Xenopus tropicalis: one gene and its partners. The protein of the gene in region 6 interacts with the protein of the main gene of each other region in a pairwise test. Links are inferred from orthologs where the notes say so. Each region holds a gene or a part of one and is shown on either strand. Other genes may lie near its edges.

Region 1 (3,334 bases), on a different chromosome or scaffold from region 6:
TAGCACTATTAAAAACAAAGTTTGACAGCTTCTGAGATGGTTTTTTGAAAAATGGAAGTGTTTAGAAAATAGTCTGTGGAATTAAGCTGAAACCCAAAAATATAATTTGCCATGGGCCACTCTGGAACAAACCGTCTTAGACAGGAACATGAGCAAGATAAAGTGGGACAGTTTATGTAGGAGAACGGGGATATGGGCCCAGGCCTGTCTGGCAATCTGTGGGTTCTGGCAAATGCCAGAGGGACTGCTGTAAAAGACCATTGGCAATCACTATTTATTGGGCTGTTTGGGCCTCTGTGTATTGGAAATGTCAGGGCCTATTCTGACTCCCAGTCCAGACCAGTATGGGACCAGCCAAACCTAATTTGAATTGAAATTACTTTTTAACACAAACCCTTTCAAATAAGTGGGGAAAAATAATTGTTTTTATCTGAAAAAAAACATTTTTTTTCAATTCAATACAGCCTTTTGTGTTAAAATAAAGTCACATATTACAAGGATTTTTTTTCTTTTTACAAAAAAGAAGTTTATTTACAAAAATAAAGTATTTATGCCAGATATTACAAATTACTTTAACTGACAAAATATATCTTAAAAGTGTGTATGCTTTTGAAGGGCAAACAAAGGCTTTAACAAATCTGTGTATAAAAGTTGTTTACTTGCAAGCACAATGTCCCATGTAGAGCAGAACTATGCAAGTAAAGTTCCCCCTTCACGTCCCACCTCACTGGTAGGGCACTCAGCAACTCTTCATGTATCACAGATTATGCAGTTGTGAACAGCTGGATCAGGAGATGGCTGGTATCCAACCGCTGATCCCAGTTACCACTACCCACAATAAATGTTTTGCAGTAAACCTGCTGAGGCTTTTTTTCCTATTTTTTGGATTTCTACAATTGTATTTGGTTGCAGCACAGAGCAACAACTAGAAGCTAAAGCTTTTTTTCGTAAATATTTTATACAAAGTTCACCAATCATTTTTTAATTTTATAATACAGCCACCAGGTGGGCACCAGCTAGAGCAGTGATCCTCAACCAATGGCTTGTGAGCAACATTGCTCGCATATTGCTCACCACCCCCTTGTGTTGCTCCCAGTGGCCTCAAAATAGGTACCCATTTTTAAATCTCTGGCTTGGAGACAAGTTTTGGAAGTATAGAGATGCAGTTTTACTCCAAGTAGAGCCTCCTGCAGGTCAGCAGTCCTTATGGGGCTACCAAATAACCCCTTTTTTAATGCTTGTGTGGCTCACAACACTTTTTACATCTGCGTGTGGGTCACAACTAAAAAATGTTTGGGGATCCCTGATTGAGATGGTAAAGTAACCTCAAGGGTGGGTAACACAGAGGGCAATCTCTGTAACTGCATAAAGTTGCAGTACATGGCATTTGGTACAGGTGTCCAGTCTAAGTAAACAGCCCTGCACACATTTGATAGGTACTCTTAATAGAAGAGCAGCTATGAAATCAAAGGCAATTTCTGACATAATGAGAGAAAAAAAAACTTATATAAAGGGCTAAGAGAAAAACACAACTGCAGCATATTTGCCTTTCACATGGATGTGCCAGCATTTTGTGAATGAATAGAGATTCAAGTTACTTATCTTAAAGATTTTAAATTGAATAATCCCTATACAGTGGATAAAAGAATGCTGCAACTGGATATCAGACCCCTCTTCATCCTCTGCAGGTATTTCATCAACATATATTGCTCAACAATTGACCAAAACAAACAAAAATACCCCCACTGTATATACATAATAATATTTACATAAATACACATCTTTTTATGAAAACCCCCAGGGGCCCTATTTACAAAGAGTAGACAAGCACTGGCCGCAAAGGGATTCTGTCACGGAAAAACATGATTTTTGCAAAATGCATCAGCGTTGCTCCAGCAGAGTCCTGTACCACAATCTGTTTTTCAATTTCATTTTGAAATTTGACATTAGGCTAAAATGCCACTGTTGAATCCATCATCTACAGTCCCCAACCTTTCAAAACCAGTTGATAGAGGATGATTTCATATAAAGGTCACATGGGCCAAAATACATACATACATACATACATACATGCCAATAAGCATTCTTCAAAGCAATTAACACTAACCAACTGTTCTTAATGCTGCCTATGGTCACTTTCATTCTGTTTACAAAAAAGCACAAGCTGGCCTTCTTGGATTTGCTTATTACATGAACAGCTATATTATTGTTACATGTAAAGCTGCTTCATAGTTCCACCTCCTCTTCTTCTTTAATTTCCTTTTTCATGTCCTGGTTCTTTACTTGTTCGAGTTCACAAACCTCCATCTCTTCTTCCTTTATTTGCACTGCGATAACTGCAAGACATGATACAATGAGTAAAATGCTCTGTGTAGCAATGCACCACAAGATTTAAAAGAATGAGAATAACTGTTGGTATACTAATAGGCAGTAAAAGTATATTCTTCTAATGTGCAAAAATAAGAGCACTATAGAGTTGTTATCACTTTAATATACCAATTTGCCACAGTCTTGCTCCAATAATTGTGTGTACTTTGTTAGATAAAGATTTCAATTTTGCCATAGCAGGGATTTCTCACAACTCTTCACTAAACGTTCCATGCTGTATGGTTCCCCCAACCCAGACACCCTCCAATTCCACTTACTCTCGCCTTCTTCAGACTTTGGGTTGCACATATTCTCTCTGCTGCTGCTGCTATCTTCCATCTCAAGGTCAGCTGGCACAAGATCCACAGAATTCTTGCCAGCACTTGTGGAAGGCACCACTTCCATGACATGCTTATTTGCTGGATCATCTTAAAGTGAAATGTAAAAACACTGTGAAAGAATAATAATAATAAGACTAGAAAGAAGGTAAGAATGCACCAAAGGATGAACTAGAAGAACTAAAATAACCTAAACTTATAAAGGAATTCTGTCATGATTTTTATGGTGTACTTTGTATTACTAAATTACACTGTTTATATTGCAAGCAATTCACTCTACCATATAACATTTTAATGTTAAACCATTAAATGCATTTTTTTAGTTGTAATATTGTGCCTGAGTCTGCGCTATCAGAAAGAGCCAGCACTTCACAACAGAACTGCTTGCTGATAACCTATTGTTTCCCCTACTCCAGTGCTGTCCAACTGGCGGCCCCCCTCTGTGTGGCCCCCCACCTGTCTGGCCAGCATTGTGTCACTGTAGGCTGCCTGTGTGTGCCATACACACAAGCATCATAGAGCAAGCAGAGTATGGCACACACAGGCAGGGTAGGGAAGGCAGAGTATGGCACACACAGGCCGAGTATGGCACACACAGGCCGAGTATGGCACACACAGGCCGAGTATGG
Region 2 (3,500 bases), on a different chromosome or scaffold from region 6:
ACCATTTTGTGCAGCATTTTTCCATCTGAAAGTAATTATCCCATATTGCAGTGATGTCTTTAGGATGATTACCTTGCACTAGGACGCATGTGGCAATTTAAGCAGTTTAACATAATTCTATGCAAAGATGGGGTGAACATAATAAAATATACACACACACACACACACATATATCTTTAGTAAAGGAATAATTTCACGATCATTAATAATAGAGTGAAACTGCAAACCTTGTATGCGATTTTCACAACTGATGGGGCCCATTTATCAAATTCATATAGCCAGTTGGACAAAGTCCTAGAGGAAAGAATATTGATTTAAATAAATAAACAGTATATCAAGTCATTAAAATATAACATGGACATTTTTTAAAATAATTTTGTATATACTGTATTTTTGTTTTGTAGACAAGTGCCAGCTTGATCTGAAAACATCTTCTTGATATTTTCTAATCTTCTAGACATCTGCTAATTATTCAGCACTACACAGTTAACTGCTTATGGGATCAGGTATGGGATCTATTATCTAGAAACCCATTATCCTAAAAACTCAGAAATACAGAAATTGTGATTTCTATAGTGTCTCTCTTTTATCATTTCTTTATTCTATGTAGTAAGAAAACAGTAACTTGTACTAGCACATATGTGTACGGCACATGTAGGTGCAATAGTAGGTGAAAAGTTTATGTATCTGCGTGGGCCCTTCCGATTTTGCTTATTGACAGTTTGTAGAGGCCAAAAATCTTGCAACTGAACATTTCTGACATAATTGTTACTTCCTCTGCTTTTAAATTATTTGTATCTGATCAGACCCATTTTAATACTGATAAAAAAAAATGTTGGAAATGTAGTTGAAATACTCTCCCTGACAATCTCTACAGGGCCTCTGATATAATCAGAATGTTAAGCCAAAAAGATGACACCCAACATGTGTTTGTGTGCACATTATAACTTTATTCTATTTTTTCAGGTAAGGAACCAAAAGACAACATTTCTGTACTTACGAAAGAGGAACTATAATAAGGTATGGCCCATTAAGCCTTTTGTGCTCCATCAGATAGGTTATGAGTGCAATAGTTTGAATGGTCTTTCCGAGCCCCATTTCATCTGCCAGGATTCCATTTAAATTGTTGTTGAACAAGGAAACCATCCATTCCAAACCCTGAATCTGAAATATAAAACAGCGGTTTCTAGCTGAAAGAAAATCAGCAAAAGCTTGTTGAACTTTTGAAGATTCTGACTGTTTAACCATTAAGTGTCTATATATTACATTTTAGTGCAGAAAATAATTGTCTGAACCCATTCATCTGTATTCTACTATACACATTGGGGGCAAAGATTTGCATGGGTGATAGTGCTCAGCACTGCTCCTGAGCAGCACTAAGAACTACCACCCCACAGAGCAGAACTGGGTTTGCCTGCTAAAAGCATTTCAACATATTCTGACAAACTGGCAACAGGTATCAACTTTGATAAACACATCCACTCAATAAAAACTTTCCTATCAGGAAAATGTTTCTGACACAAGGAAATTTTTGATGAATAAGAAAAATATCTGCTGGGCCAGTCGTTTATTTTAAAAATAATGAGTGCTCAGTTTCTGTAATAGTAACAACCTCACCTATCAAGAAACATTTAAAAACTGCTGTAACCGAGTTAAAGGAAAAGTAACACTAAATAATTTTAAGTAAAAAGTCTATTCTACCCTGCCCCAATAATTGCCCTATCCTGCACACCATTTATTATTTACTGATAATAATAATATTCACTGAACTCATGATGAACAAAGGGTACACTGCCCCTTTAACACGTTTATACTTAACAATAGATGAGCTAAGTGACTGTTTACCTGGTAGTGTTTTAAGCTGCCATTAATTAGGAGGGAGGACTGCTTTTCAACCCTTTCTGTGACAGCGTGAGCCACTCCGTAGTAGGACTGAGATTGACGGGCATCCTCTTGCATACTATACTCGTCATCTACATCCTGCTTTGCTGTCCTAAAACATCAAACAACATGTTTAACCAAACAGTATAGACCATTATAGTGCCTAAACACTTTTTAGTTAATTTTAAGAAAGCTCCATCATTTTCTCAACAAAGGTGGATGAGTTTAGCCAAGTGTGTATGTAAAATGCTGCACATTTCAATGTCAAACAAATTGTTGTTTATTTTGTTTTACATCTTTGCCTCAAGAAGTATGCTAGTGGTTACTCCAAAGAATATACTAGACGGCAAAGAGCATGAAAGTCTTATTGTAAGAAGGAGAAAATGTCTCTTATCTTGCATGTCCCATGTAATGATACTAGAAACAGTACTCTTTCTACATCATCATCCCTAGGGCTTGTGTCTAGCTTGTGTGAATATTACTGAAAGCTCCCTTGAGCTTTTAAAGCTATGAAGCTGAAATCAACACTTCCCCCAAATATATGATTCTTGGAACCCACTAAGACTCCAATGTTCCTATCAGTGGAAATAGACATTACATAACTCTGCCCTACCTTTAGTTTGCCTACAATATTCATTTGCATTCTGAGAAATTCATGTAGTAAACCCATGTCTGTTAAAACAGCATATCCCCCAGGACACCTTAAAATAAGCTCAGCTTTTCCTATGGGTGAAGCTAAAGGAGGCATTGATATAAGGCCCTTTCCATATCATTTTATAGTAATCATCATATAATTTTACAGTAACCGTATGAGTAAAGGCTTCAGGACACAATCATGCACTGAAAGTTGAAGAAAGCAAATTTACTAACACCCAAGCCAGATTTGATACTTATACCTGTTGTCAGTGCTAGTGTAAAAAATATAAATTTTTGTTTTGTAAAAAAATAAATTTTTGTTACACAGATGCTGCATATATTACGGAGTCTGTTGAAAAACATCATCATAAAAAATTATTTCAACAGATGTACAAGGATTCTTAAGAATTACATCTGATTGAAAAACAGAGCAAATATAATGTACATCTAGCCAAATATGTACATTTGCTAACAAAGTAAGGGATAGAGTAATTGTGAAAAACTGTAATAGAAATAACTCAAATTTACAGTAACTGGTTCACATGAATCAGAAAAATAAATAACAACAACTATTTATAGACCCAAACAGACACTTTGTGCCAACCTCTGATATGCAAAAACCTTTTTATCACCTAATATTTATCAAGCTTTATCATGCTGCATTAAAACAATAATGGTTCTTTAATAATGCTGTTTTGACAAGCTCACGAACACACTTCAAAAAAGGAGATTTTATGTAACTACTTCTTTTATTTACATTTTTGGTAGGTCATTTTTTGAGACTTCCAGAATATTCCTATAACTTACTCTATTATCTGCTTCGCGTCGTGCTTTACATTGTCCTCCGTGTTAAGACCAAGGCGTTTCTTTTCCTCTGTGTCCAGTCTACTAGATTCTTCTTCATCCTCCTACAACCATTAAAAATAGAAGTCACACACAAACAAAAAATATTAAATGGATACTAATTTACTTGAATTGAAAAA
Region 3 (4,127 bases), on a different chromosome or scaffold from region 6:
ACTAACAAAAGTAAGAGAAAAAGTAAGTGCAAAAAACAACAACAAATATATTAAAGCACAATGAGCTTTTTCAGGGGGAAAGAGTTAATTTAGGACTGGAGTAGGGGGGTTAGGAAAATTACAGATGCCAGATGACAAAAAACTATTTCATTTCAGCTATTGATTCAGCCTTTAGAAGATATAAAGTATAGTACCTGTGGAATGAAGAATTGGTGAGGTTCTTAGGTAAAGTTACAGCCTGCAGATTCATCTAAACAGTCTTCATTTCTGCAGTGCCTACATCTGTACCTTGATTGGTCAATGTTACTGTCTGTCAAGAGAGCTGTGCTCTGATTGGAGAAGCCACAAGAAGATCCAATCAGAGCACAGCTGATTACAACAGAACCAGAGCTTGCAGGAAGGAGGAATGCAAGAAGATTTCCCCAATGTTCCAGAGCAGTGCAGAAACTGATTGATTTTTTTTTCTATTTTAAAGGTGCAGAGCAGGTTTGGGGAGACTTAGCCTCCCCTAGCCTTATTGAAAATCCGCCTATGCACAGCAGTGCACGATTTGTTACTGAAGGCAGGATGGACTGAGCGGCACTGAGCACAACTATAGGGAGCAGCAAGAAGTGCATTTAAGTACCTTAAATGAAAGTGGCTTTACCCTCAACTGACTGTGGGAAAAAGTGCAAGTTGCCTGCTGTACTTGCGGATATAAATGAACCTTTATTTGTAATCACTGTGCTCATCACCTACTTTTTACATGAATGACACCAATGTTTCTAGCCATCTACTGATGACCATGGTGAGGGACAGATGTAGACAGAATACAGTGAGAGGCATATTTAATATAGTGTGTGAGCCAATATTACTGGGGATGTTGCCCATAGTAACCAATCACAAATTAGATCTGAACACCTAAAAGTTAGAAAACAAAGATCTAATTGGTTGCTAACATGTAGTTGTCTGTTCAAATCTAATTGCTAATTGGTTGCTATGGGCAACATCACCGGTGATGTTGGCTTACATACTAATAAATATACCCCTTAATGTATACTGTTGGATAAATGTTAAGACTTTTTTACAGGACTGATCTGGGCATGGAGGCCTGCATCATGCTTGGCATTAATAGTTTTGAATTGTCAGCACACCAATTACTGATGCTCCAATAGTGATGGCTGTTCTAAGAGCTGTAGTTAAATGAATACATGCCTCATATCCCTGACTGCTACATGATTTCATATTAGGTAGCTTCCACAATAAGCAACCAATCTCCTCATACCGAAAAAGAATGTTCCATGCATACCATATGCACTTATTCTGTACAGTCTAACTGAAAGTTTCACACCACATGTTTTCAGATGCTTTTTCAGTGTACGACAGGACTTACAGGAATATGTGGCAAGGTTATTGTTACTTCATCTCCTTTGCCAACCTGAAGTTCCCCCTCACAAGAAGTGTCTATGGATGCTGGCTTGAAATCATCTAAAAAGAACATAAGGTATTTAATAGCGTTGAATATAAAGAAGATTAGTGAATAATGCCCTCATTTCCAGTCATGTGTAAAAGAAAACAAATTACCTACTAGAGTGTAATTCACATTTAGAACATTTGTATATCAGTATTACAGAAGAAAATCATGAAAAATACAGCCTATTTTTTTTCTTGCATGTAGGTTTGGTTTACTGTGAACACAAAACATGCACTATTGTCATTGTATTTAATGAACAGTAATAAACTTCAGCACCACGTAGCTGCCTGCGCAGTACTATGCTTGGCTGTTATAAGCCAGACTTTATCCAGTGACAACACACAGGATTTTCTTTGTGTGATTTTGCCTTAAAACCAGTTTTTCATCACAAAAAAAAAAAAATTTCAGTGCAGCCCCCTTCATCAAGTGAAATACAACAAAAAGATATATATTTCACCTGACAATAGGGTTGCCCTCAAAACTTATGTTATGATGTTATGTGATTAATAAACTTTGCAAGGCGATAGCCTGTATGGCTGCCCTTCATGTGCATTATTGGAACTGTAAACACGTGATATCTGTCATCAGTCCATAAAATTATAAAGATTTATGGGATTTGCACTTTGACAAATGTGCTTCTTTGCTTCTTTTCAAATATAACATATTTATCTGTTATTGAACCTACACACTGTAAGTTTAAGGGCAGCAAGACATAAAATTTAGAATAAAGGTCTCCCAATCATCTTTAACCCCTTTCCACAGACGTGAAGCCACAAATAAGCCCCGCCCCATACAGGTGTAGTTGTGTGATGTCATTGTACTCACAGCGCACTGTGTGGAAAGAAGAGCGGGGCCTCTTTTCGAAACTCTCACCGAGGCGAAGGATGTGCTCCTCTCGGTCCAGCGGCGGTGGGGGTGGAGTCCCGTTCATTGCTGAAATTCCAGCTACTACAAGAAATCTTAATTATGATTCTCAATAAAATAATTAAAGCTGGAATAGCCGTCCACAAGTATTTTAGTTAGCGCAGGTGCACGACACTAACCCGCAATGGGATTATCACACCAACCGTAGGGAATAGAACCTGTCACAAATTCCACACCCCACCTTCAAATATTTATAATAATAACCCAGCGCAGGTTATAAAAGCTCATGCTTAAAAGAACAGTCACCGCACCAAAAAGCCCACGGATATGTTATATACCACAGATCAAAATGAAGATCCGTAGCAGCACAGTGTTAAAGATGTGACGCTGTATCCATCTCTCCACGCCCCCTCCGCAATGTTGTGAATGTTATGTCTGCAAGTCTAAAAAGAGATACCAATGGTGCAGTAATGATAAATTATCCAGAGTCCACCACTATTATACTCAGGAAGAGTCATTCAAACAGCCTCTCTAAAGACATCGTTCTCAATAATTAAATACAGCTCCGTCACTTGCTCCGCCCTCTGCTGATTTACTGCACCCATTTCTCCAGTCTCCGAGCACTTCCTTACTACGGGTCGTCAGTAAGGTCAACCTTCTTCTGATCTTGCTCATGTAAAAACCTGCCAAATTCTAAAAAAGAGATGCAAGCTTCAAGCGTGACAATCTAATCTTAGCTTCTGCTGGACCTCCTTTCCTTTTTTTGTTTACTGCTGAGTTTCCTATTACATGCTGGGTAATGTAGTTCCTTTAGCTGTTTGTTACTATTCATAGTTACATAGTTAGTTACATAGTTACATAGGGTTGAAAAAAGACCATTGTCCATCAAGTTCAACCCATCCGAGTAAACCCAGCACACAACCTATACTAACCAATCTATACACTCACATACATAAACTATATATATACAACCAGTAATACTAACTGTAGATATTAGTATCACAATAGCCTTGGATATTCTGCTTGTTCAAAAACTCATCCAGGCCCCTCTTAAAGGCATTAACAGAGTCTGCCATTACCACATCACTAGGAAGGGCATTCCACAGCCTCACTGCCCTCACCGTGAAAAACCACCTACGCTGCTTCAAATGGAAGCTCTGTTCCTCTAATCTATAGGGGTGACCTCTGGTGCGCTGATTGTTTTTATGGGAAAAAAGAACATCCCCCAACTGCCTATAATCCCCTCTAATGTACTTGTACAGAGTAATCATGTCCCCTCGCAAGCGCCTCTTTTCCAGAGAAAACAACCCCAACCTCGACAGTCTAACCTCATAGCTTAAATCTTCCATCCCCTTTACCAGTTTAGTTGCACGTCTCTGCACTCTCTCCAGCTCATTAATATCCTTCTTAAGGACTGGAGCCCAAAACTGCACTGCATACTCAAGGTGAGGCCTTACCAGGGACCTATAAAGCGGCAAAAATATGTTCTCATCCCTTGAGTCAATGCCCTTTTTTATACAAGACAGCACTTTATTTGCTGTAGTAGCCACAGAATGACACTGCCTGGAATTAGACAACTTGTGATCTACAAAAACCCCTAGATCCTTCTCCATTAAGGATGCCCCCAACACACTACCATTCAGTAGATAGTTTGCGTTTATATTATTCCTACCAAAGTGCATAACTTTGCACTTGTCAACATTGAACCTCATTTTCCAGTTTGCTGCCCAGTTTTCCAATTTTGTCAAATCGCTCTGCAAAGCGGCAGCATCCTGCATGGAACTTATAGTTTTGCACAATTTAGTGTCAT
Region 4 (4,073 bases), about 26 Mb from region 6:
AGCCCACCATAGACTAAAATCAGTGTCAGAAACCACACTGACTTTACAAAGTACAGGCATAGGATCTGTTATCCAGAAGGCTCCATATTTCAGGAAAGGCATCTCCCAAAGGCTCCATTTTGATCAAATGATTTGGATTTTTCAAAATGGGTGTATACTGGGTGTATTTACAGTTTAAATATTTTTTTAGTAGACTTTTGGGGGTCCAAATTTCAGAAAGATCTGGAAAATACCAGCAGTATTATCCTTTAAGACTGAAACAGTCACCTTTCTTCCACATCCTCGTTCATGCGACTCTGCAATCTACGTAAACGAGGATCGCTGGTACTTTCTTCTGGTTGTTCCTCCTGCTCGACCTCCTGTTCTTTCCCCTTCTTAATAAACTGGAACTCCTCTTCTTCCTCATCAGAAGACTCCATTGGAGCGTAATCGGGCCTTTTACCAGAAACATATCGTTTAACTTTGACTTTCTCCATTGATATTTCACCTGTAATAATGGATAGTGAAGTCCTTTAAAAACAGGTTAAAAAAAATCTTATTGATTTTAAAATCCAGCAACACAGTCTACCCCATGAGTTAAAAGAGGGCCAGTGACACTGCAATGCAGAATAGCAGCCAATGATAAACAAGTTGGGGTTTCAGTCACTCCCTACATATGCCTACTCAGTAGTTTACCTTTAAGGTAACTTTTAGTCATAGAATGCCCTATTCTTTGCAACTTTTCAATTAGTCTTTGCTTGTTATAGTTTTTTTAGTTACATGCTTTCTTTAGCTGTCAAATAGGGGCCTCTGAACCCAGCAGCCCAAAAAACAGATAGCTGCTGAAATTCCAAACTGAGCTTCTGGAAACCACACAAAAAGGTCAAACTGCAAATTTTCTCAGAATATCACTGCCTCCATCATACAAAAAGTTAATTGTTTAGGTGAACTACCCCTTTAAAAGAGAAAAATAGTTACAGTAAAATGATTTATTTGTATTCTGGTTTGCTCTATAGTAACACAATACTATTTTAACTACAGATCCCCTTTAAATGTAAGGATCACATGTCAAATTTAATTTATTAAAAAAAAAAAAAAAATTAGCAAGCAGTATCATTATACAGGTATGGGATAAAGTCTGACACACAAAGCCTGATCCAAATTTACCATTCAGAAAGAAACTACACATTAGCGTTTGATCAGATTTTGTGGATCAGACTTTATCTGACCCACAAAACCTTGTTGTGCAACAGCACAAGATTTTGTGGAATCCAATAAAATCTGATCCCCTCCCTACAGTTATGTAGGATGGATCAGATGAAGTCGGATGGTGGGTTTTGTTCCAGATTCACTAAAAGTCAATGTATCAGCCGAACTTGAAGGATGCTATCAGCTGATCTGACACCACCCTACAAAATCTCCTGTGTAAAGTTGATGCGGTCCCCGAACCAACTGCGACTATACCCATCGTTCTAATTCGATCGTTTGGCTCCAGGGCCAAACGACTGAATTAGGTGGGGATATCGGTAGAAGATGCGTTTGTTTGGTGACCTCGCCAAGCGAGTGGATCTTAGCGTGTACGGCCACCTTAACTTAGCTAGGGTATAGCAGATGTTCGATTGCAGAATAATACATTTTCCATTTGCAGGTACAAGACAAAAAGTATAACATAATCTTCTAAGTGCGAGCTCTGAATAAACAAACGCCAGAGGATACTGACGCACATTTAGTAGTTATGCATAGCACAAAAGAAGTCACACACCTATGACTGCACATTAGTGGAAAAAAGTGATAGTCTTAAGATCCTCAATTTTCACTTGAGACCTTAGTGAATTGCATGTGCTACATTTGGTAGATATCGGTGGTTTTGTACTGTATACCATGTATATTACGTACTGTATACCATGTATATTACGTACTGTATACCATGTATATTACGTACTGTATACCATGTATATTACGTACTGTATACCATGTATATTACGTACTGTATACCATATCACAAGTGTATCCCCTTATTTGGGGTTTCAGAGAGGGAAAAAAAGTATTTTTCTTCTGGCAGCCCAGCAAAAGCTTATTACTGCAACTGGCAGAGGAGCAATTTACTGCTACATTGTGATAGCATCTTGCACTGAAGGCAGATTGCCAACCTATACTTAATGCTATCACTGAGGCTTATTTCCAACACTGAGCATATTTACAGTAACCAATCAGCAGTTATCTGTGTATTGCTAGTAGAACAATAAAAGCAAATCGCAGATTGGTTGCTACGGGTTACTGGACTAGGGCAAATTGCACAGTCAATAGTCTCTATATTGGAATATGTAATCAGTCAGCACCAGACTGACATCTTTACCCACAACCCTCAGTGCGCAGACGGCGGAACTACGTGTTCAAGAAGTACCCCACCAAACACATAGAACTACAATGCCCCGACAGGTTTCTGGATTGTAGAGATTAATCTTTTAAACAATTTGGGCTGCACGTTGTCCACCGCGCCCAAAATTAACACTAGATACGATATTATGGCATTTTATAGATAAAGAAGCACTAGGTGTAGTTCCAGATGGAGGCTTCCCTGGCACTACACTATACTATATGGCTCTCGGGAGGCCGCAGCTTTTCAGTAACCCAAGGCTTTACCTTTTTCATTGCGAACCGGTACGGCACCGGCCGTGGACTGGATGGGCGGTTGCTTGCTTAGCGCGTTTGCTGAGGACGCCATTGTACCGGTAAGAAATCACAAACGACACCGAAAACAACAGCTCTTCCAAGTTGTGAGAAGCGCTGGAGGACTAGATACCATAGACTAATTCCCAACACTTCCGGCAACTTCCGCCCTTGCGTGCTAAAGTTGCGCAGGCGCGTTTGGCCCTTCCCTTTTCCCTCGGGTCCTGAAGCAAGATGGTGAGCCTTTGCGTTGTGGCGGCTTCGGCATTTATCAATCTGTCGTAATCCTTTCCCGGGAACGACCTTTTTGCACCTTAGACACCTTTCTCTGCAGCTACACATATACCCGCGCCCGTTGCTCTTTCTTTTCTTCGCGTCTCTTTAGTTTCGGGAAATATATGTATGTGTTTAGTTGATCGGGAGATTGAGGCCCTGACGATCACCGGTATTTAGTCACCGGCTTGCGGGCTCTTTGCTCCGTAGGGTTTGAATGTCAGTGTGTGTGCCTAGCCCGGCTGTTTAATTGGAATCAGTGGCTCCATAGTTTGCAAAGTAGCAGGGTCCTGGGGGGAAGGTGTAGTTTGTACTCCCGTAGTGATTGCCTTACACCGCAGCGCCATAGAATGGCCTGTACTTTCCCCGTCATTGTCACAGGCAGATTTTTGTGTTATATTTAGGTTTGCTGTACCATTACTTTAATAGAGACTCAAGGCCTGCCGCTCTTTCTGTACTTTGGCAGCCCTGTAGTGATGTGCGGCACTCAGCGAGCAGCATTATTATTATTTATATAGCGCCATCAATTTACGCAGAGCTTTACAGAATAGAGGGGTACAAAAGACAGAAGAGTTAACATGTACATATAAACAATTCATAATAATGGTTTGCAGTTACATTTGGATGAGGATCAGAGACACTAGGGGAGGGCCCTGCTCACAAGAGCTTACATTCTAAAAGGGAGGGCTGAGACATAATGTCAGGGACCATTAATCTTTAATTATATGCTGGGAATTGTAGTCCAGTCCAAGGCTTAACAGGATTTGTGTAATCCCTACAAGGCCCAGGTGAATCACACTGGGATGGAATTTGAAATGGAAATCTAGTGTGCGTTTGGGTATCTGAAATTACAAACCATACATTTGTTTATAGATTTGGCTGTGTCTTTTCTGAATGTATTTGTTCTGCTTCTTTCCAGGCCAAACGCACCAAGAAGGTTGGCATTGTGGGTAAATATGGGACCCGTTACGGTGCTTCCTTAAGGAAGATGGTCAAAAAAATTGAAATCAGCCAGCACGCCAAATACACCTGCTCATTCTGTGGCAAGGTAGGTGCCTTTTATAGAGAATACACATCTGCAGAATTGACTTTACAGCTCCAGAAGGGATATAAAGTGTAACTTTTCCCCTCCCAATCTGCACCCCCTCTAG
Region 5 (4,110 bases), on a different chromosome or scaffold from region 6:
GCTAGATTATTTTAAGATAAAAGTGGGAAAATTACAGAATTTTATAAGACACCAAAGGTTTCTCTTTTTTAAATAAAAATAGCTGCATAAGGCTATTCTTACTATGAGGTGAAACATGAGCCATATTAATTGAGTACTAAAGGTCAGAGAGACCACACCTATGGTTAAAAGGTAACTGTACAATGCAACAGAGAACGTTCAATAAATAAAGATAAAATGCAATCATTTGTCATTGTTGTATTGGGGGCAGGAAGTGAAACACAATCCCATGGTCTAACACCTAGTACTATGAGAGCATGGCAGCAAAGCATATATGCCATGTTTTGCTTACACTTTAGTGCCCACTATGATAAAAACATGTTTGGAAGTCTGCTCTACAGGACTGAATTGCTGCTTGAGCAGAAACTGAATTATCAGTCCTTGAGTACCTGCTTTTTTCTGATTTGTGCATCAGGAGAGCCAGAGATTTTACTTGACTATGCTCCACAAGCCCAACATATTGGAGATTTACTCATTACATTCAGCAATTGCTTTTTATAAACAAATCACTAAATTAAGTTCATTTTTTATACTTTATATATTTTTTTATTTTTTATTGTTTTTGTGTTTTTTTTTTATATATTGTTTAATTTCTTTTACAAATGCATTTTTTGCAACACTTTGTTTTTTGTAAGGAAACAGAGTAACAGCTGCAGCTCACAGGGAGAAACCAAAAACCAAGCTAGGCAGCCAATGACATTATGACAGTATGCATGCGTCAACATTGGCATACTTTTTTCTCTTGCAAAAACTTTAGATTTGATTTTTATTTAAGATAATTTTGCAAACAGATATAAATGCAACACAAACTCAGATTTTAAAATCTACCCACATATGCTTCTATATTGTACATAAAAATGAGAACCTTTCTAAGCTTGTGTCAGTGCTGCTTTACAGTGAAAGATCAAAACATTCATTGACATCCTATGACAGTGAACATGCTTATATTTTAAGAAATATTTTAGGTCCAACTATTATTATTATCTGCAACTTTACAGAAATCTCTTATCATTAACCTCTGACCATGTCCTAGGAGAGTTTGCAATCCAAACTCCCTGCGTTGGGCAAACACTAACTTGGGTCATTAAAGGGGTTGTTCACCTTTACGTTAACTTTCAATATGTTATAGAATGGCCAGTTATAAGTAACTTTTCATTTGGTCTTTATTATTTATTTTTTAAATTATTTGCCTCCTACTTCTGACTTTTTCCAAATCTCAAATAGGGGTGACTGACTGCAGCAGACAAAAAAACTTATTCTGTAAGGCTCCAGTTTTATTGTTATTAAATTTTATGACTAATTTTTCCATTCAGGTCCTCTACTAATCATATACCAGTCTCTCATTTAAACCACTCCCTGGTTGCTAAGGTAATTTAAACCCTAGCAACCAGATAACTGATGAAATGTCAAACTGGAGAGTTACTGAACAACAACAAAATAATTAAAAAACCATAATAAAAAATGAAGACCAATTGCAAATTTTCTTAGAATATTATTCTCTACAGTATACAAAAAGTTAACCCAAAGGTGAACAACCCCTTTAATATGAAAAGCATGGCAGAAAACCAAGTGTTACCAGAAGAAGCCATGAGAAGAACATACAAACTCTGTGCAGAAGGTGCTCTGCTGAAGGGGAATGAAAACAAAAATGTCTTTGCATAATGCCAGATCACAGAAAAAAATCTCTCATAAAGATGCTCTCCTGACATATGAACACAAACTTCTTTCAATAGCAGCTACATATACAAATAACTTTAAAGTTGTTAAACATTCTTAACAAATTTATACTGGAAAGTAATTAAAATCACATTTATTTCATGTTTTGTTTTTTAGTCTTTGGTTTGACATCCCCTTTAAGACACTAACCAGCTAACCAGTGCAATGCCACACTAACTAGTAAGAACCATTAAATAAAATGATTTGGGTTCAACAGTTAAAATCAAATGAATTACTCACCATGCCTCCATGGATCTTTGGGTTCAAGGGCACCAGACACAATATCATCATCACAAGGGAATGTCACCCTTTTAGGTCCCTGCTTAATCCGCCCATTTTCCTCTTGTGCGCTACCTTCTTTAGTCTCATTTATTTTGCTCTGGTCCAATGTTTCTGTTGATACTCTGACCTCTGTACCCTCCACACAATCCATTTCTGTAGAAGAAAGGGTCCTTAGGGGCAGAGGTTTGGGTTCTGGGCTACAAGGAGACAATGCTGTAGAAGACACACCCTCAGTGTTTTCCTGGTTCTTCACTATAGTAGTTTCAACTTCTACAGGTAACACCTCTTTCAGCTCATCTTCCACACTGTTTTGAGGCATGGCCTCTACAGCGTCCCTTTGGTTCCTTTCTTCAAGTGACGGATGCACCACAATACTTCCATCCATTTTACCCTCCTGTACTGGACTTGCATCTCTTAATCACTTTCTTTGTAGTTGCTCAATGCAACAAATTCTCTCTGTAGATATCATTGGATTTCTTTCAAGCTTTTGCCTCTCCTGCCCTCAGCCTCTTCCGCGGTCTTTAAAAAGAACCCACACTTCAAAGCTTAGTGGCCAAAAGACATTTTGTATGCAAAACAACGACCTATCACTATCGGTGCAACTAGCTCTTGCGGTCTAACTCAGTTTCCGGGTCACATGTCTCTGTCTGTCTCTCACTCAGCCTTTGACGGCGGAAAACAGCATGGCCAATCAGCAATCGCCGCGTCAGCACGAACCATAGATAGCAATATGACCAAGGAGCAGAAGAAAGATCGTACTATAGAGTAGGAAGAATTCTCTAGCTCTGTTTGTTTTTAATGAAACCATAGAGTTGTGGAAGGACTGAGTGTAGCTGCGAACCATAAATAATCACTATAGCGACTGTGGAGGAATAGAGGGTAGTTGATGCCAGAAAAGAAATAGGAAACGTACAAGGGTTATTGTAGACGAGTTGTCACTATACAGTTATCCTTTTAACTTTTTGTACATATTGTGTATGTATTTGAAGATGCATACAATGTTGCTAAACACTTTTCCTTGTTTACATGCTAAAATCTAATTTATAATACGCAATTTAATAGTGGCGGGTTTATTGCAGTAAAATGAAGGACCAGCAACACTGACATATTTAATTCACTGAATTCAATGAATTAAAGTGCCTAATGACCTTTATTTTTAAGATAAAACCAATAGTTTTTGTTGTTTCTTGCATTACACAAAATTCAAACCACTGTCACTTTCTAACCTTTTATCAAAGGTCTCCTCTAAACCTTGTGCTGACTCTCAGCCTAGGCTATGGTTTAGTGCTAAGTGCTTTAAAACAGTACATTTTTAATTGAAATAATAGAAGAAAAATTAAACATGAGTTGAATGCAAAATGTTGCGTTCCCCTTGCCAAACTGCATTTTAGTTAATTATGGAAGTGAAAAGAAGTAAACAAGTAAAAAAAACATACTTGCAAAAATTAATACACAGCTAAATTTTATGGCATTTACATATGAGAAAGAAAAAAGAAAAAAATTGGGACTTCCTTCCATTTGTCCAGTGGTAAACATTGTTTTTGCAAGGTCCCTGACCCCAATTACCACATTAAGCTTTAAAGGGGTAGTAGTTAACTTTTAATATGTTATAGAATGTTCCATTCTTACCAGTGTTTCCATTGGTCTAGTACAGGGGTTCCCAACCTTTCTTACTTGGGAGCCACAGTCAAATGTAAAAAGACTTGGAGAGCAACACAAGCACCATAAAAGTTCATGGAGGAGCCAAATAATGGCTGTGATTGGCTATTAGGCAGCCTCTATGCACCCTATCAGCTTACAGGGGGCTTTATTTGGTAGGAAATCTTGTTTTTATTCAACCGAAAATTGCCCCCAAGTCAGGAATTCAAAAATAACTACCTGGTTTGGGGGCACTGAGAGCAACATCCAAGGGGTGGGGGAGCAACATGTTGCCCCTGAGCCACTGGTTGGGGATCACTGGTCTAGTATCTCTTCTCACTCTTTCAAACTTTCAATTGGGGTCACTGGCCTTTTTAGACAAAACCCTATTGCTCCGTTAAACTAAATTTTTATTGTTATTGAAAGTTTTTATTA
Region 6 (3,500 bases):
CAACTTACATCAGAGGATGAAGAATCAACAACAATTCCAAATCCCAGCATGTGCTCCTCCTCTTTCTTGGCTCTCCCTTTTTCTGTCAGACTGGACCTTTCTGGGAGCACCATGGCCTTGTGCTCTTTCTCACTCACACTTGGTGGGCTGATTACAGGAGATACTGCTGTATTCTTTAAAAGCACTTTTTTCTTTATTATTCTTTTCCTTGCCATGGCTGCCTTTTGATTGCAAATGCATGACTGCGGAACCTGCATACGGCTTTGCGAAACTGTAATAAAACACATATGCATGTATAAATGGTGTTAATTATTAGTTGTTTAGTTATTTTAAAGGTGAGGGCAAAACACTTCACCAGAAGTATACTGTATATATTGTGTGCCGCTTTCTACTTTGTAGCTGGGCAGGTTGTAAATATGGGAATAAAAGGAAAACTTTCAAGTTAGGGTTAGATTGTTTTTGCATTTTTAAATATAAATTACTGCTTTTGAAAATACATAATTCTGTTTCTTCAACATGGTCTCATTTGAGAATCTCTGTATATTGAATACATAGGGGTTCCCAACATTCATCTGCCCACACATCTGTACTAACTGGGATGTTTACTTTAAAGGAACAGTAACACCAAAAACTGAAAGTGTATCAAAGTAATTAAGCTATTATCTACTGTTTCCCTGCACTGGTAAAAGTTGTGTGTTTGCTTCAGAAACACTACTATAGTTTATGTAAACAAAAATGCTGTGTAGCCATGGGGGTACCCATTCAAATTGAAAAAAGGAGAAAAGGCACAGGTTATATAGCAGATAAATTGCATAGATTCCTATTGTATTCTACAAAGCTTATCTGCTATTATCTGTTTGCTTATGTAACCTGTGCCTTTGGCCCCTATGGCTAGACAGCAGCTTATTTATATTAACTGAAATAGTTTTTTTGAAGCAAACCAGTGCAGGGCAACAATACATTATCATTTAAATTTTTTTATTTTACTGTTCCTTTAATTGTTGTCAGGGCCACATTTAGGCAAAGAAAGGCCCCAACCTCCAAGAAAGCTGTGGCAGAGATACCTTACTTCAATATAGTAGGGCAGAGATTTCCTTATTTTGCACATTGCTGGCAAACAAATAAGCAGTACCTTACAACACATCTCTACACGGGACACCACAAGAAACAAATATACTTAAGGTACCAGCTTTTTTACATAAAAGATCCCTTAAAACATTTAGTAAAAGTAAGTAAGTAAAATGCATATTTTTATTGTAAAGCTCTTCTAGTTCATTTCTTCCATTTCTACTGTATACATCATGCAATGCGGTAGTTGAGTGTGCCAGCCTCCAGCAGCGTGTGGACACGGCGTGCGCGCGACATTCTGCACAGCGCGCCGCTGCAGGTAAGGACACAGTGGAGCACAGGAGGAGCACCCCCCTCCCTGGACCCCCCCGTGCCCGGCCTTAAGGAGAATGTGGACACAGTGTGCGCGCTACAGTTAGTTACTGTTGCTACTGTTAGTGCCAACATCTTGCCGAATGACAATGACAGTAAGTGACACAAAAGGCAGCACCGTTACTCCACACTATTGAAATGCTTGGTTATGATATCCTTGTGCTAGCCGTGGGCCCTAGCATTGCTTAATACACTCACATTTGTTTATATTAGGGCTGTTTGCTGGAAAATCCATAGCCTGAATAAATGGAGCTTTTCTTTAAAAATTAAAAAACACCCTCAACCCCCTATCTAACCCCCACCCAACTTTCTTTAACCCCCCCTTTTCCTTCTTCCTTCTTTTTTGTTTCATATATTTCATATGTATTTTACCTTGCTGTAAAACAACCAATAAAAACAAAGTTAAAAAAAAAAAAAAAATCCATATGCATGGTTGCTTCCGCTCTACTTGTAATTCCATTAATATTTTAAAATTAAAGGCATGTATACTTTGCAATTTGGTGTATTTAAAGAATACAGAAATGCCATATTTACTTATGGGATTAAAGATTTTGTATACCGGTATATGGATGCTTTTCATGCTGCACCATTGAGGGGCTTATACTCGAGTCAATAAGTTTTTCCAGTTTTCTTAGGTAAAATTAGGTACCTCGGCTTATATTCGGATCGGCTTATACTCGAGTATATACGGTAATACATGATACAGTAATTAAGCTATTAATGTGTTCTCAAAAAATACATACAAAGTAGGTACAGCCCATCATTTCTCTAGATATAAAATTAACAGTCACATTTACTTAAACTCATCTTTTTCTGGCCTTGACAGAAAAAACCTCAACACGGTATAAATTCGAATTAAACTTAATCATTGTTGTATTTATAAAATGTCACGATAATGCTTGAATCTTTCGTAAGAAAATTTCAAATTTTATGTTAGAAAATCGCAAATTTTTCAAGCCACAACTATATATATATTTGAAACTCGAAAAATTTGAGTTTAAACGAACGTTCATTTCCATTAATCTTCTTTATTTTTGCCAAACAGGAATTGCTCCAGCAGCCATTTTAGGAGCATTGGTACTCATTCTAGTTTCACTTGAATGTGGGTGAAACTGAAAACAATAATGGGATTAAATTCCCCTTGAAAATGTGTCAAGGACAGGCTATTCTATTCCTCTTCTATTCCAAGCCTTGAAAGGACTCAATTGTACTCGACAAATCAACCTGTCGAATTTTTTTTTTTTTTTACAAAAAAAAGTTAACTAAACATTAATAAATCACAAATTACGGGAGTTATTTTAGAAAAAATCAAATGTTTCGGGCAAAATTTCCAGAAAAATCTAATTTTTCAAGAAACAATATCAATGGCAAAAGCCCATTTGTAAATCAACTTTTTCTTAAAATTTCTTAGTAAATGTGCTCCTAAGTATTCTAAAAATTACAAGTTAGGTTTTAATGTAGGGTGTTTCATAATTATAAACATGTTAGTAATACATTTGCAGACCTTGCCAATACATCTCCCATTGATTTCTACATAAACTCCGCAGCTTTCATATACCAGTTCTTAATAAATCTCAAATTGAGGTTCTAGATACTCCACAAATTTACATTTTTTACTTAAAAAAACATAAACAACTGTAAATATGTAATATAAGCATCACCATACTGAAATAAGAAACTTTCTAAACATTCTGTACTGTTTCTGAAATAATCACATTTATCTTTACTATGATCCCCTCTCAGCATTTGTTTATCTTCATTCCCTCTTTATGCAGAAGTTGATTTTGATTGACAGTAAGGTCCAATATATCTTTTTTTTGGGGGGGGGTGCTCTTGCACAAACCCTTCATTTAGAGAGACAGAATTTTTAGTGATTTTAAAGGGAAACTATACCCCCCAAACAGTGTCGGCCTCTATAAAAATATATTGCATAAACCAGCTCATATGTAAAACTCTGCTTCATCTAAATAAACCATTTTCATAAAAATATACTTTTTTAGTAGTAAGTTAGGAATTAAAGTGATACTGACACCAAAAATAAAGATGTTTTTTAAACCTTT
Region 7 (4,240 bases), on a different chromosome or scaffold from region 6:
TGGGTAAACCTATACATATTGGGCATCAAACTGTTCAGTGGACCCCTGGTGTTCAAATTCAGGGTGTTTTATCTTGGTACCTAATGCTATGTGGGAGATAAGATGCTTCAAATTGGAAGCTTTGAGGGGATTTTTGGAAATGTCATCAAAATTGCTAACTTTAGAAAAGCTGTGCGGCTTGGTACTTTGGAGTAGAAAGACATGGGTACCCATTTTAGATTCGGGGGAATGTGTACTTTCCAAAAATATATGACTTTCTGGGGTGAGCGTACTTTTTACTAGCTTCATCCCACATATAATGATGTAAATGTGTTGATTTTGCAGAAGCTGAAATGACAGAAATGACAGTTCATATGGGGTATGTTCACATTGGGGCCCCTACATGCCACATACTTAGGTAAACCTATACATATTGGGCATCAAACTGTTCAGTGGACCCCAGGCATTTATATTTAGGGTATTTTATTTGGTTACTTTATGACCTGTAGGAGATAAGATACTATAGACTAGAAGCTTTGAAGCGATTTTTAAAAAAAATCACAAATTTTGATAAAAACCAATAACTTTAGGAAAGCATTGCAACTTGATAGTTTGGAGTAGACAGACAGTTGTGCCTATTCTGTATTCCCCAGAATCTGTTCTTTCCAAAAATGTACAATTTTCTGGGATAAACCTTCTGTTAGTGGAATTTTGGCCTTGAAATCCAAAGTATGCAGTTTTTTTGGAGCAGTGCTTTGGGAATTTGGTAGTGTACTGCTGGGAGTTTTTGACCTATACAAGTGAGAAATCTCCATAAAACTATATATATTTGGTATTGGCACGTTCAGGAGACATGGGACTTTCCAAATCAGTTGTATATTCGTGCATAAAATAATTTTTGTTTCTAGTATGTGTGATTATATTATGGAAAATTTGATTTTTTTTGCATTTTTAGACATTTAGAAGCCTATATCTTGTTACAGAATTGGAATTACACAAAAATTCTACCATATTTTGAAAGCTTAGGTTGTTCTGAAAAAAACGATATATTGTTTTCCTTGGTAAACTAAAAGTCCCCCCGAGGAAAGGCCCCTAAAGTGAAACAGTGCAAAATGTTCAAAAACTGTCTGGCAATACAAGTTCCGCTTTGACCAAAATGGCTGGCAGTAAAAGGGTTAAGTGTGTGTGTGTGTGTGTGTGTGTGTGTATGTATATATATATATATATATATACGAGGTTGTTTATTTACATATACTATTACATTTGGTGGTCATTCCGGACTGAGCCCCTTACCGTCTGTACGTACGGGCACTGAGGCCCCTCTGGCTCTATCCCTGCCGCACCAACATGAACCCATCAACCGAACGAGTCAAGACTTTCGCCGATAGGTACGTCACTTCCGCCCTCAAGGTCGCGGCGCTGGGAAGCCGGGCGGAAGTGGCGTCACAGTAAATAGTCTGCGCAGTGCGGGAGCGCTACACGTGGGTATAGCTGGCGGTACGGTGGGAGAGAGGCGCCTTAGGCTATAGTGGGACTGCTGCGCCGAGCCCGGGAAGTGGGAGGTAAGGGGTGCCCGATGCAGCGGGTTTCTGAACTGCAACTCGCACAAACTGTAAGATCTATAGAGAGAGACACTATGGGTGTGCTGCTGTTAGACTAGCACTGTGTGTGTGTGTGTATGGGGGGCTGGGTATGGCTGTGTCAGCTAACCCCATGGCATCAGGGGGATAACGATCCTGTTTCAGCTTCGTTTAAATCCTAACGGGATGGATCAGTTATCTCAGTACCCTGTGCCCCCAGCAAAGCCCCCACACTAGCTCTTCTGGCAAAACTGTGCTGTTAAAGGGCATCTAAATGCAAAATATAAACTGGCCTTACTGACAGTGCTCATCCGAGCTATAGTACATAAACTGGCTTCTGACTCTCTCAAGAGACTGCAGGGAGAGCACAGCTGGGGTTGCTGGCACTTTTTGGATCCAAAAAGCTTGGGAATCAGTGTAAAGCTGCCATTATCTCAGTAACCAGTTTAAACTGGAAAAGTGCTCACAGGACTTTAACTTCATTTTTGGGGTTAAATCTCTTTAAGGCTGTTATTACACCTGGCAGTCTCCCCAAGTAGCCAGTGATCACCGACTCAGGGTATCAGACTGCACTAGTGCTCTCCATTAATGTAAAGCTGCCAATACAAGTAGAGAGATTTCCATATAACTGGTGAACAGCCAAAGGATTTTTCAGTAGCTAGAACACCGGAGAGTTAAAATGAACAGAAAGGTAGGGCAGCGGATTGGCCGTGTGTAAAGGTGCCACTTGGGAAGCAGTATTGCTAGTGCCACACAGGGATGATTCTTGGCCTGTGGAGAAAAAATGAAGCAGCGTGTGGAAGCGGATCTACTTCTCTCAGCCTGACGGATAAATGCTAAATGAGAGAAGTGGACAAACCGCTCCCTGTGTCCAAGTCCTTAGGGTGAAGACACACAGAGCTACTTAGTAGCAGCTACTTCTCACGGCTACACCAGAAAATACTCTGCCATAGACAATACTGAGAATTGCCTCTTGTAAAACGTAGAGACAATTATCAGCATTGTCTATTTTAGTAGCTGCTACTAGTAGCTCCATGTGTCTTCACCCTTAGGGCTCTGGCACACGGGGAGATTAGTCGCCCGCGACAAATCTCCCTGTTCGCGGGCGACTAATCTCCCCGAATTGCCATTGTAAGTCGCCGGTGGGATGGCACACGCTGCGCAGGCGATTTCAGCAAATCGCCGAAGTTGCCTTGCGAGGCATTTTCGGCAATTTGCAGAAATTGTGCCGCCGCGTGTGCCATCCCACCGGCGACTTACATTTTCGCCGGTGGGATGGCAACTGATGGTAACTCGGGGAGATTAGTCGCCTGCGAACAGGGAGATTTGTCGCGGGCAACTAATCTCCCCGTGTGCCAGAGCCCTTAGAAACATCACCTTTGCCACTACCTTATCAGATTAAGCACACTTGATCAGAGATTATCGTCTGCCTGAACTAAACTGATTAAAGCAACAGTAACACCAAAAAATGAAAGTGTATAAAAGTAACTAAAATATAATGTGCTGCTGCCCTGCACTGGTAAAAGTTGTGTGTTTGCTTCAGAAAGTCTACTATAATTTATATAATTAAGCTGCTGTGTAGCCATGGAGGCAGCCATTCAAAGGAGAAAAGGCACAGGCACATAGCAGATAACAGATAAAACACTATTGTATTCTACAGAGCTTATCTGTTATCTGCTATGTAACCTGTGCCTTTTCTCCTTTTGTTCCAGCTTGAATGGCTGCCCCCAGGGCTACACAGCAGCTTACCGTATATACTCGAGTACAAGCCGAGTTTTTTAGCACTAAAAATGTGCTTAAAAAGTGAACCTCGGCTTATACTCGCATATATACGGTATCTGAATTAAATGCATAGCTGCACGCGCCCTAACTTGCGTGCTGACGCGTGGCATCGTTGCCGAGCGGGGGCTTCTCCTTACAGGTATGAGCATTAGGGCACCGATCTGTAGCGCCGCTTTGTGCCATTTCATTATTTTATTGGGGTATTTGCTGAGCTCTCAGGGCACCGATCTGTAGCGCCGCTTTGTGCAAGTTGAAGCTGCTCCAAACTAATGGCGCCTCCAGCCCAACAGCGCAGAGCAAGGGAACGATGTGCGGGCTGAATGCACAATTACAGTTTACATTCTTTTCTGCAGGTAATTCCATTCTTTGCTACAAGGCTCGGCTTATATTGCTTCCAATGAATTATTTTGACATTGGGAATGTCACATCCCTCAGACATAAGGCAGATATTATAGGAGGGGTGCAGGCACTTTCACATAAGGATTTCCTTGTATGCCCCCCATATTGCCAACAAAGGGGCCATAAAGTGGGGTGCAATCCAATGCAAACACCATGGTTCCCACTTTCAATGGAGCCCCACAGAACAGTAGCTGCACGCAGAGGCAGTTGTGCCCTACATACCCATCCATAGGCGAAATGGAACAATATATATAATTGCCCCTTATTGGGGGCAGAACAATCCTATTGGGTTTATTTCATGGTTAAATGATTCCCTATCTTGCTCCCTTCCCATTGTTCTGCTGATTGGCTGCTGGGGGTGAGGGGGGGATATCACTCCAACTTGCAGCGCAGCAGTAAAGTGTGCCCGAGTCTGAGCTTTCAGAAGGAGCCAGCGCTACACATTAGAACTGCTTTCAGGTAACCTATTGTTTCTCCTACTCCCATGTAACTGGGGGAGT

The links.
Region 1: the proteins of bend7 (region 6) and l3mbtl2 interact in binary tests that used the Homo sapiens proteins (3 or more experiments, as listed by UniProt). The two-hybrid records come from large-scale screens. The link is inferred for Xenopus tropicalis from reciprocal best matches to the Homo sapiens genes BEND7 and L3MBTL2.
Region 2: the proteins of bend7 (region 6) and smarca2 interact in binary tests that used the Homo sapiens proteins (3 or more experiments, as listed by UniProt). The two-hybrid records come from large-scale screens. The link is inferred for Xenopus tropicalis from reciprocal best matches to the Homo sapiens genes BEND7 and SMARCA2.
Region 3: the proteins of bend7 (region 6) and eaf1 interact in binary tests that used the Homo sapiens proteins (3 or more experiments, as listed by UniProt). The two-hybrid records come from large-scale screens. The link is inferred for Xenopus tropicalis from reciprocal best matches to the Homo sapiens genes BEND7 and EAF1.
Region 4: the proteins of bend7 (region 6) and mfap1 interact in binary tests that used the Homo sapiens proteins (3 or more experiments, as listed by UniProt). The two-hybrid records come from large-scale screens. The link is inferred for Xenopus tropicalis from reciprocal best matches to the Homo sapiens genes BEND7 and MFAP1.
Region 5: the proteins of bend7 (region 6) and ppp1r37 interact in binary tests that used the Homo sapiens proteins (3 or more experiments, as listed by UniProt). The two-hybrid records come from large-scale screens. The link is inferred for Xenopus tropicalis from reciprocal best matches to the Homo sapiens genes BEND7 and PPP1R37.
Region 7: the proteins of bend7 (region 6) and lyar interact in binary tests that used the Homo sapiens proteins (3 or more experiments, as listed by UniProt). The two-hybrid records come from large-scale screens. The link is inferred for Xenopus tropicalis from reciprocal best matches to the Homo sapiens genes BEND7 and LYAR.

Annotation. Positions count from the first base shown.
Region 1 is NC_030680.2:115,987,153-115,990,486, forward strand, and holds the end of l3mbtl2 (lethal(3)malignant brain tumor-like protein 2), read right to left. Parts: intron 2,818-3,334; coding exon of another isoform or gene 2,796-2,817; coding exon 2,646-2,795; intron 2,337-2,645; coding exon 2,227-2,336; 3' UTR 501-2,226; downstream 1-500. UniProt on the Homo sapiens protein: Putative Polycomb group (PcG) protein. PcG proteins maintain the transcriptionally repressive state of genes, probably via a modification of chromatin, rendering it heritably changed in its expressibility.
Region 2 is NC_030677.2:128,244,138-128,247,637, forward strand, and holds part of smarca2 (probable global transcription activator SNF2L2), read right to left. Parts: intron 3,426-3,500; coding exon 3,325-3,425; intron 1,994-3,324; coding exon 1,846-1,993; intron 1,165-1,845; coding exon 1,001-1,164; intron 295-1,000; coding exon 228-294; intron 1-227. UniProt on the Homo sapiens protein: ATPase involved in transcriptional activation and repression of select genes by chromatin remodeling (alteration of DNA-nucleosome topology).
Region 3 is NC_030682.2:51,500,673-51,504,799, forward strand, and holds the start of eaf1 (ELL-associated factor 1), read right to left. Parts: upstream 2,801-4,127; 5' UTR 2,385-2,800; coding exon 2,279-2,384; intron 1,468-2,278; coding exon 1,373-1,467; intron 1-1,372. UniProt on the Homo sapiens protein: Acts as a transcriptional transactivator of ELL and ELL2 elongation activities.
Region 4 is NC_030679.2:107,687,106-107,691,178, forward strand, and holds the start of mfap1 (microfibrillar-associated protein 1), read right to left. Parts: upstream 2,801-4,073; 5' UTR 2,705-2,800; coding exon 2,623-2,704; intron 488-2,622; coding exon 268-487; intron 1-267. Other genes in the region: rpl37a (60S ribosomal protein L37a), read left to right, coding at 2,884-2,886, 3,842-3,970. UniProt on the Homo sapiens protein: Involved in pre-mRNA splicing as a component of the spliceosome.
Region 5 is NC_030684.2:71,184,352-71,188,461, forward strand, and holds the start of ppp1r37 (protein phosphatase 1 regulatory subunit 37), read right to left. Parts: upstream 2,801-4,110; 5' UTR 2,423-2,800; coding exon 1,996-2,422; intron 1-1,995. UniProt on the Homo sapiens protein: Inhibits phosphatase activity of protein phosphatase 1 (PP1) complexes.
Region 6 is NC_030679.2:81,757,203-81,760,702, reverse strand, and holds part of bend7 (BEN domain-containing protein 7), read right to left. Parts: intron 272-3,500; coding exon 9-271; intron 1-8.
Region 7 is NC_030677.2:26,336,903-26,341,142, forward strand, and holds the start of lyar (cell growth-regulating nucleolar protein), read left to right. Parts: upstream 1-1,440; 5' UTR 1,441-1,541; intron 1,542-4,240. UniProt on the Homo sapiens protein: Plays a role in the maintenance of the appropriate processing of 47S/45S pre-rRNA to 32S/30S pre-rRNAs and their subsequent processing to produce 18S and 28S rRNAs. Also acts at the level of transcription regulation.